Oryzias latipes: one gene and its partner. The protein of the gene in region 1 purifies or fractionates together with the protein of each later gene. This does not show direct contact. Links are inferred from orthologs where the notes say so. Each region holds a gene or a part of one and is shown on either strand. Other genes may lie near its edges. The genes, in order: ddb2 and cops6.

Region 1 (4,571 bases):
TGTTCGTCACTGCCAAGCATTTGCTTTCCTTTCTAGTTTTCTGACCAAAGATTGTGATGATTGTGGTCACAGTCTTGCGTTTTGGACAGCAGGGTAGGTGGGTGGCCTTCAAAGCTCTGCAGGGTCAGTTTCCCCTCACCGGTTGCCACATACACTCTGGAGGAGTCTGTAGGGCAGAACTTCATCCCTCCAATGAAGTCTCCGGCTCCATTCTGGGCACAAAAGCAGGAAATGCAACGACATAAGACAACTGCTGAACTGAGACTTGAAACCGAGGGCTTGAGCAACTTCGATTCTGAGAAGCAACAACTCGTTTTCCCAACTATCCAACTACTCTGCGCTGAAGTCCATCAATCAGAGAGTGGAGGCACAGCTGGAAAACAAGTATAGAATGGCAGTTCTTGGGTACTAGAGTTGGGCAGCCATGTTTAGACAAAGAGGACTCATATGTGCTAGAGCAACTTCTTGGAATTGTCGCACTTGACTGTGGAAGCACTGCGTATCCCCTATAGCTGAGCTGTCCAGCTGAGTGGGATGTTACAGTTTTTCTCAGTCGCTTTAGTACAATTCTCAGATCAGAATGAAATTCCCAAAACTATTTGTTCAATCTTCACATCATGATGTCACTTGTGCACATCATATAAGCAGTTTCTCACTTCTATGAACAAGTTGCAATTGCTTTGGTACATTCATGCAAATGATTATGTACAATTCTCTGCTCTTTGCTACATTATCAATTGTTTATGTCATGTTGATCAAAATGTATTATATAGTTCACTGTGCAATAGTCTTACTCCTCAAAACACCTAGTCATTAGTTCATCGTATAAGTCATTAACTGCAAAATGGTTGACCAAGTTGTCATAATGTGACAAACATATTTCGCTGCATTGCAAGCGAAGATATTCGCTGTGATGTGGATGAGAATTTGTGGCCTAACATACAGGAACGACAAGACGTGTCGGAAAACCACACCAATTCCTACTGCACTGCCTGTACTGTTGTACAGAATATTGTCCTATCTTTTTTTTCCCTTTGTGTTACTGTTTGCAGTGGGTTTTTTCTATGTTGGTATGACATGGTCTGTCAACAAATTACAATATGAATAATAAAAGTGTAAATGTGAATCTTGTCCAGTCTCTTGCAATCAAACAAAAAAGGTGTAACTTACGTTTTACAATAATTGTCATCAAAACTTTAGCCATAGTTTACATCAGAACCTCCCTCTAAAGTACACAGTTATATTGACAACATGACTAAGTCATTTGACTGTCTTGTTCGTAGACAATGACACAAGGACTTGACATTCTGATGGCACTGACATGTTCAATGACATAAAGACTTAGTTTTCAGAGATGAACTAAAGATTTTGAGCAAGTTACAGGCTTTTGCAAGAAATCCATAGTGTTTTGCTGTTTGTACAAATTGTTTTGAGAAATGCACACACATATTTGCAAACTTTAATTCTGATCTGAGAATTGTACTAAAGCGACTGAGAAAAACTGTAAGTGGTTAAGCCTATCAATCTAATGAGAAGAATGAAAAATGCATTGTCAAGTCTATCTAAAACATATGGTTGTGCAGAGTTGTGTGACGTTTTGCAAGCACGAACACACAAAAAGCTGAAATCCTGAAAGAAAAAAAAATCTTATGCAACTTCTTTGGTTAAAACTGTGCTTTTTCAGGAGCTCACCCCTTGGATGAAGCTTTTCTTTGTGGGCTTTTCAAAGTCCCAGAGAAAGATGTCTCCACCTTTGGAGGCTGCTGCTAGTGTGGTGGGATGGGTGGGGTGCCACTCCAGACAGGTGATTCTGCGATCGAAGGGGCTGGTAGCACCATGGAAATGATAGGCGGAGAGAGAGCGGACAAAGGGCTCCTGAAGACACTGCAAGAGGCAACAGCAAAAAGAAAAAAAACCCAACAACATTCCATCATTTCAGATAGAATATTCAGAATCTGTTTTTAAACCACCAATTAAAAAGAATAAATACAAAAGTCTATAACTATTTTTTTTTTTATCATTTGTGACCAAACTGATTGTTACTATTGGGTAAAATCCATAAAATGCATTAGGGATTTTTTTCTGTTTAGTAAAATTCTTCTTCTCCAATCAAGTCTTCAGACAGAAGCCTAGAGAAGAGGGCGCCTTGTTCATCAACTGGTCTGCCGTCTCTGTTCACTTCAATGCATTGATTTGCATTTGGGTTCCAGATTACACTTGACAGACTAAATCTGTTGTTGGTGCATTTTTATTATTGTTATTTTTAAAGCAGACAGCCCCCTCTTTCTGTCCATACTGACTTACCTGTCTCATCTGAGAATGCAGACTTTGGCCTAGACTGTTCCTGTAAATGTAGTGCAGGATGCTGTTATGGCCATTTCTCCTCTGAGCTGTATGGGGCTTGACAGGTGGACGCTCTGCAGTGAAATTCATTCAAATCAGGATGATGACCTCAGAGTAAACTCATGCAGTCCCGTTAGTACTGCTCACCTGGCTCAGAGGTCTTCACTTCTATCTTTTCCTTTAATTTTTTGGAGAGTGATGCTCCAGAGTCTGCTTCAGTTCTTTTTTTCACTTGACTCTTTGGTCCATTTTCACCTGGTTTCGTGTTCTTCCTTCTTTTCATGTCTGTCAGAGTTCGACGATATGACACGAACAAAACCACTTCTGTGTACTTCTCTATCTTTCCTCTAGAAAACCCCGTAAATGTGCAGTTTACCTGTAATTGTGGAAGAGAACCGCCTTAATCTAAAGTCTATGTTTGCATAACACGGAAGCGCACGTGACTAATGGCAGCAGATGTTTTGTAACTTCAGCCCATGACAGCTGGTGCGCGATAGATGGCGCTGTTTATTTACAAATTCTCCCTTTTTTCAAGAAACTTTATTTAAAAACTTGATACAATACAACAGACTAAAGAAAACGCTACACACTGTGAAACTTGCACATCATCAGTCAACAGTACAATTAAAATGTTTTTGTGTGTGTGCATTTTTAACTGGACAATTTGATGTAAGATTTTAAGTTAAACCTATTTTAGTTAATTATCAATTCTGAATTTCTGAATGGTATATAGTTTTAGCATTTTCCAAATTAAAAATCACCCATTATTAAATGCAACAACAACAATAATAATAGTAATAATAATTGTTATTAGTATTATTAAGATAGATAGATAGATAGATAGATAGATAGATAGATAGATAGATAGATAGATAGATAGATAGATAGATAGATAGATAGATAGATAGATAGATAGATAGATAGATAGATAGATAGATAGATAGATAGATAGATAGATAGATAGATAGATAGATAGATAGATGGATAAACTACACTTGCATCAGGTGGAACTAAACAAACGTTTGATTTCATATATAGCATGCAATGGTGCATTCCCCTGTTTATTTGAAAACATTTTTTTCTGAAAGGCTCCGAGTTATGTCATATTAGCTCAACATGCCTAAAAAAGTAGTCAAATTTGAATAATTTAAAAACTTTAAGACAAGCAACCAACAAAGCTAATCTTTAAAAAAATTACACAAAGTGCAAAACATCATAATGCAGCATGTCCATAAACAGGAGAACAACTGCCATATGAAAATGTATTATGTCGTGTTTCAGCAACAGGCAAAAATAACATTCTTTATGTACATATCAGTAAATTAATTCACAAACCTACCCAAAATGCAACATAAGCATACTAGAATTACAGTCTTTTTTCATGGTAAACGTTCGCTCCTTCTAATATTTGATTAGTTTTCTTACTTTTATAAATTTACTTTTATTTTTTAAAAAAGTAATTGACTACATCGACTGCTGCGTGTTTGCAAAAATATTTTTGGAATTTGGTCAACTCGGAAGTGACGCAACACACTCGTGTTCCTTGTTCTGAGATCCTATTGGCGGTTGTGGGATTTGAAAAGTTCTCTGGCGAGAGGCTGAGTCGGGAAGATTCAAAATTTGAGCAACAACTGGAATCGAAAGTAGGCTACAATGAACAGACAGGGGTAAGTGAATTTTATTAATTTAACTTAGACAATTTGTTACAAACGTATTTATATATCGTGCAATTTGTTGTTACTTCTTGATTCCACGCCTAACTGACAGTTAACGAACTAAATAACGGATTTGATTTAGCTTAGCATAACGTCGTTGCTTAACCATAAGACTAACGTTTGGCTTAGTTGATTATTTGGGCCCCCTTTAAAGCTAACGCTTATAGTGATGTCATGTTTTCTCCACAGGAAGTTCAGGACACCCCGCAGGCCAAAAAAGCCTCTGAACAACCAGAAAGACCCGGTTGGAGTAAGTGTCAGTAAATCAAGCGAAATCTCTTCCAATAAAATTTAAGCCACATGGTGTGCTTTGTTTTGTTTTTTAAGGTCTACTGTCGCGTGCGGCCTCTAGGAGGAGGAGATGAAGAATGCTGCATTGAGGTCATCAGCAGCACCACCATCCAACTTCATGCTCCAGAAGGCTTTAAAGTAAACCGCAATGGAGAATACAAAGAGGTAAACACATTTCTGATTCAAGAAGCCCTAGATTACAAGGATTAACATATATAGAAA
Region 2 (4,424 bases), on another chromosome or scaffold:
TCGCGAAGTTCTAAACGACAAAGCCTCTCCCATGATGTCAGACTCTGCAGGTGCTGATCTGTGAAAGAGGGCACATTGTTAAGAACTAGACTCTCAATACTAATGCCTAAAGGCGAGGCCTGCCCTTTGACTTTTGGATTTTTTCCTTGCTGTGAACCACCAGCGCTGGAAGTAGCCACTGCTCTGTCCTGAGGAAAAGCAGGTGAGGAACTCTTGGCCTGACAAAAAAAGCCCTGAGGGAGCTCACAACCACGGAGCTCCAGCACACGTAGAGAAGGAGGCAAGAGGTGGCAGTTGGGTAAGGTTCTCAAGTCTGCATGTAGAAGGCATAGCTTACTCAAGCGAGGGCATTTAGTGGACAAAGCTTTGAGCCAGGACTCTGAGAGAAAGGTTCCACCCCGGGCAGAAAGCAGCAAGCCACGCAGGCGAAGGCACCTCAGTCCACAACCAAAGTACTGACGCAGCAAGACCCAAAGGATGCGAGATGTCACCTGATGTAAGAAAAAAGAAGAGACCATGTGACAATAACGAGGAGAAAACTGATTAAATAAATAATGAGATATAAGCTCAAACACATGCACATCAGAAACCTAAAAGGAGGCCTATTTTTTTTTTGGGACTTACTTTCCTAACAAAGGACAATTAACAACATTTTAAATAACGTGTCCAATTATAGTAGAAATAATAATACAAGAAAAAAAGTGCACCTTTGTCACTGTTTTTAGTGAAGGTTTAAAAAAATTGGACATAAACTAACAAAAGAAAGCCTTAGCACGGTTGTTTCAAACATCACATATTTTTTATCCATGTTTATTACTGTGTCCATTCGATTACAGAAGAATTAATATTAATACTTAATATTCAGGAACTGAAACCACAGTCCTACCCCTTTCCAAGCAGTCAGATCTACTGTTCTCCACAGTCTTTGGTCTTTAACCAGCCGTTTCCATCTCTTACAAACCCTGGAGAAAATGTGGAAACCATTAGAAACTCGCCAGACAGAAGTCTCAACAACAACAACAAAGGGAGATCATCCAGCTGGCTCTGTCTGTCTGTGCATGCTGCTGCATTGTATAGAAAGAACAGGGAACCAAAAATCCAACACATTCAGCAGGGCCACATTTTCATACCTTCCAGCTCGAACAAGCTCTCTGACGCTCAAAAACGACAACACGTCTATCAAGATGTTTTCGGGGAAGTAATCCAAATCGCAGCCTTTGAATTCATCCATTCTGTAAACAAAACCTTCCACACGGACTAATTTCCGGATGCACACGGGTTGCGCTCTAATCAGTAATCCCCAGGAAACAGCTTCTGGTTAGCAACAGTTCAGTTCATTTAACAGTTCAAAGCAACGGGCCTGGGTTTCTCTGAACATACTCAGTCTACGTCTAAGTAGTTATTTAAATTTTAAAAATGTTTATGACATCAGCTCTGCCGCGCGCCTTATTGATAAATGTTCAGAAAATATGTGATGTTGCCACCTATCGTTCGCTAGGTCAACAGTCCACTGCGCACGCGCAGTCTACCGGACAAGATGGCGACCAGCAATGGTGGAGGAATGGAGGTAGACGGGGCAGGCAAGTGTTTGTCTTAAATCAGACCGTTGGAGCCCGACGTTAACATGTACGCGCGCACCAAGGGCCCCGCGTGTTTTGTGTCTCTGCTGGTTTGTGAGCCGGAAAGATTTGGCGGCGCTAAAGCTTCTGGCTACAAAAGCTTTGCTAACATGATAAGCAGGTTAACGGTCAGTCAGTGATGAATCATTCTGGATTTACTGTCGCTTTCTCTGATCTAACTCAGTAATGCGCAGCTGAGTTTATAAATACAGTCACTTAACAATGTACCCATCCTTAAAATGCTATATAATCTAAATCCAGATTAACCGAGCGCTGTTTAAAGAAGGAAAACAACTTGATAGTTTCCCAAATGCTACTGTATTCATTCATCTAGAGTAGGGGGCTGAGACCTTTAACGGGAAACGAGCCACTTGGTCCAGATTCTTACAGATCAAAACCCAACGAGAGCCACAAAGTCTGGCCTAAACATTTAGAAAAATACACTTTTTGTTTGTTTACTTCAGTGGCTTTTTATTCATTATTGTAACAGGTAGCTTTCTTTTACATGTCGACAATAATAGAATCACAAAGGTGTTATATTTTACTAAAAAAGAGCAAGTTTAACTTCTTTACTTCAGACAGCAGCACATACACGTTCCTTTCAAAATAAAATGCACCCTAAGTCAAAAGATCCTCCTGCTTCAACAGATTTAATTTTAGGTGAGCATTCATCCTTTTACTATCAACATAAAGATGTGTGCATTGGTTTAAAATCCAAATAAAAATAAAAATCTATACATGTAAATGCAATTATATATTTTAAGAACTTTGACTCAAAGCAACAACTTGACAGTAGACTATAAGAATATTTGCTTAGTTAAACTAATTAAGTATTTGTTCAATTTTTTTGAATGTCTTTATAGCCGCATGTGGCTCTGGAGCCTCAGGTTGCAGACCCCTGCAACCTCAGATACATCAGACCGAAGCCATTTTATTCAGTCTGTGACATCTACAGGATGAAAAAGTGCTCAACCTGCTTAAGATGAGCATCTTTGTGTAAAATAAAACATGAGCAGCTGCTGATGTGTTGGACATTGTCATACATCCGATGAATTTTTTCCTTTATCAATTGATTAACTACAAAAATGACAGATAAAACTAAAAGGTAAACAGCTTAGGTTTAAAGATCAATCTTCAGGCCTGTATGAATATGTTTAGGCAGGTGTTATCCTCTCTTGAATTGTTTTAGGATTATTTTTTATTTGTAAATGTCTCATCAACACGACAGCCAATTATTTGATATGTCATACTATATCTTATTGTGAAAAATCTACGTTGTGTTCCTTGTGTCTTGTATTTCCTGTTTTGTTGAAGTTGTTGCTGTTTGTGTGTCTGCAGCCACCCCCAGTGTCATGGCCTCGGGGGTCACTGGGAGTGTTTCTGTGGCCTTACACCCTCTGGTCATCCTCAACATATCTGACCACTGGATCCGCATCCGCTCTCAGGAGGGCCGACCCATGCAGGGTATCTGTGATGAAGCTAAACTGTAGCTCCACGCGTTGACCAATCACGTTTACTGATGTCTTCTGGCTCCAACATGGTCATGTCTGTTTCACAAAAAAAAAAGGCAAATGAATTGATTTCATGTGCTTGGAGCCAGAAATAAGCCATTTTCTATGGGTGATGTCACACTAACGCACTCCAATTCTCACATACAATCAGTGGTTTTGATTGATTTGTACTTTTTTTTTCAAACAGAGACATCTTTTAGTGTTAACTAGGAACTCAGAACATGACTAAAATTCATCATCTTATCCAGTAATGTCACTATGAATGCAGTATTCTTACTTGAAGCAGCGGAGCTCTTGAACGTGTGTTTTTCAGGCATGTTTGTGTTGTTTTGGTTGATCGTGGGTTTTCCTTGTTTAGTGATCGGCGCTCTGATCGGGAAACAAGAGGGTCGAAACATAGAAGTGATGAACTCCTTTGAACTAATGTCTCACACCATAGACGACAAAGTGCACATCGATAAGGAGTACTACTACACCAAGGAGGAGCAGTGTAAGCTGGGTTTCTCAATCCGTGTTCTTTATTGAAACTCTGGACCAGCAGTCCTAAAATGTGGACTGAATGAGGCTAAAACAGTCCTGCTGGATTTAAAAGAATAAATAGTCAAAGATTCAGTTGTGAGTTTTGAAATAAACTGAATTAAATTGAAGGTTATGTCATTCCAAACGGTTAATCTCAAAATAAAACTTCATTTTTATGTTTTTTAATATTTGATTTTAATTTTTTCTAAAGCAAATTATTTACTTTTTGGGGTCAAAAATTGGCTTAATTCTTTTGTAAACAGCTAGAACCTTCTTTGTCTCTTAGATGTGAGTGAGTCCTAATTCTGAACTACAAAACAAATGTCCGATTGTTCTTTTTCTCCACATAAAGTACATAAAGTAATCTAATCACCATTTACATTTGTAAAAGTCTGTTTTTTGTTTTCTTTTGATTTTTGGCAAATAAATTGTTGAATTCTGCTGTTTCAGTTAAACAGGTCTTCAAAGACATGGAGTTCCTGGGCTGGTACACCACAGGGGGGCCCCCTGACCAGTCTGACATCCACATCCACAAACAGGTACAGAAACGCCGGCGCTTCATGCTCGACTGCAGCAAAATGTTCAGACTTAGTGATGCTGAGCTGGAAATGATCCACTTTTGGGTCGAACCTTCTCTCACCAATGCTTCTTTAAACGTTTGTCTGTTCTGTGACAGGTGTGTGAGATCATTGAGAGCCCGCTCTTTCTCAAGCTCAACCCGATGACCAAACACACCGACGTGAGTTGTTCTTCAGTCATGGAGGGGCGTGTGTGC

What was found.
Region 2: the proteins of ddb2 (region 1) and cops6 purify together in Homo sapiens (affinity purification with mass spectrometry; 8 studies listed by BioGRID and IntAct, counting the BioPlex papers as one, with this or other methods). This does not show direct contact. The link is inferred for Oryzias latipes from reciprocal best matches to the Homo sapiens genes DDB2 and COPS6.

Annotation. Positions count from the first base shown.
Region 1 is NC_019864.2:16,130,605-16,135,175, forward strand, and holds the start of ddb2 (DNA damage-binding protein 2), read right to left. Parts: upstream 2,940-4,571; 5' UTR 2,720-2,939; intron 2,629-2,719; 5' UTR 2,627-2,628; coding exon 2,491-2,626; intron 2,418-2,490; coding exon 2,305-2,417; intron 1,885-2,304; coding exon 1,693-1,884; intron 213-1,692; coding exon 46-212; intron 1-45. Other genes in the region: kinesin-like protein KIF23, read left to right, coding at 3,997-4,010, 4,248-4,308, 4,386-4,514.
Region 2 is NC_019868.2:6,644,853-6,649,276, reverse strand, and holds the start of cops6 (COP9 signalosome complex subunit 6), read left to right. Parts: upstream 1-1,498; 5' UTR 1,499-1,537; coding exon 1,538-1,580; intron 1,581-2,957; coding exon 2,958-3,083; intron 3,084-3,488; coding exon 3,489-3,620; intron 3,621-4,099; coding exon 4,100-4,188; intron 4,189-4,325; coding exon 4,326-4,388; intron 4,389-4,424. Other genes in the region: fbxl12 (F-box/LRR-repeat protein 12), read right to left, coding at 1-491, 887-962, 1,131-1,231. UniProt on the Homo sapiens protein: Component of the COP9 signalosome complex (CSN), a complex involved in various cellular and developmental processes.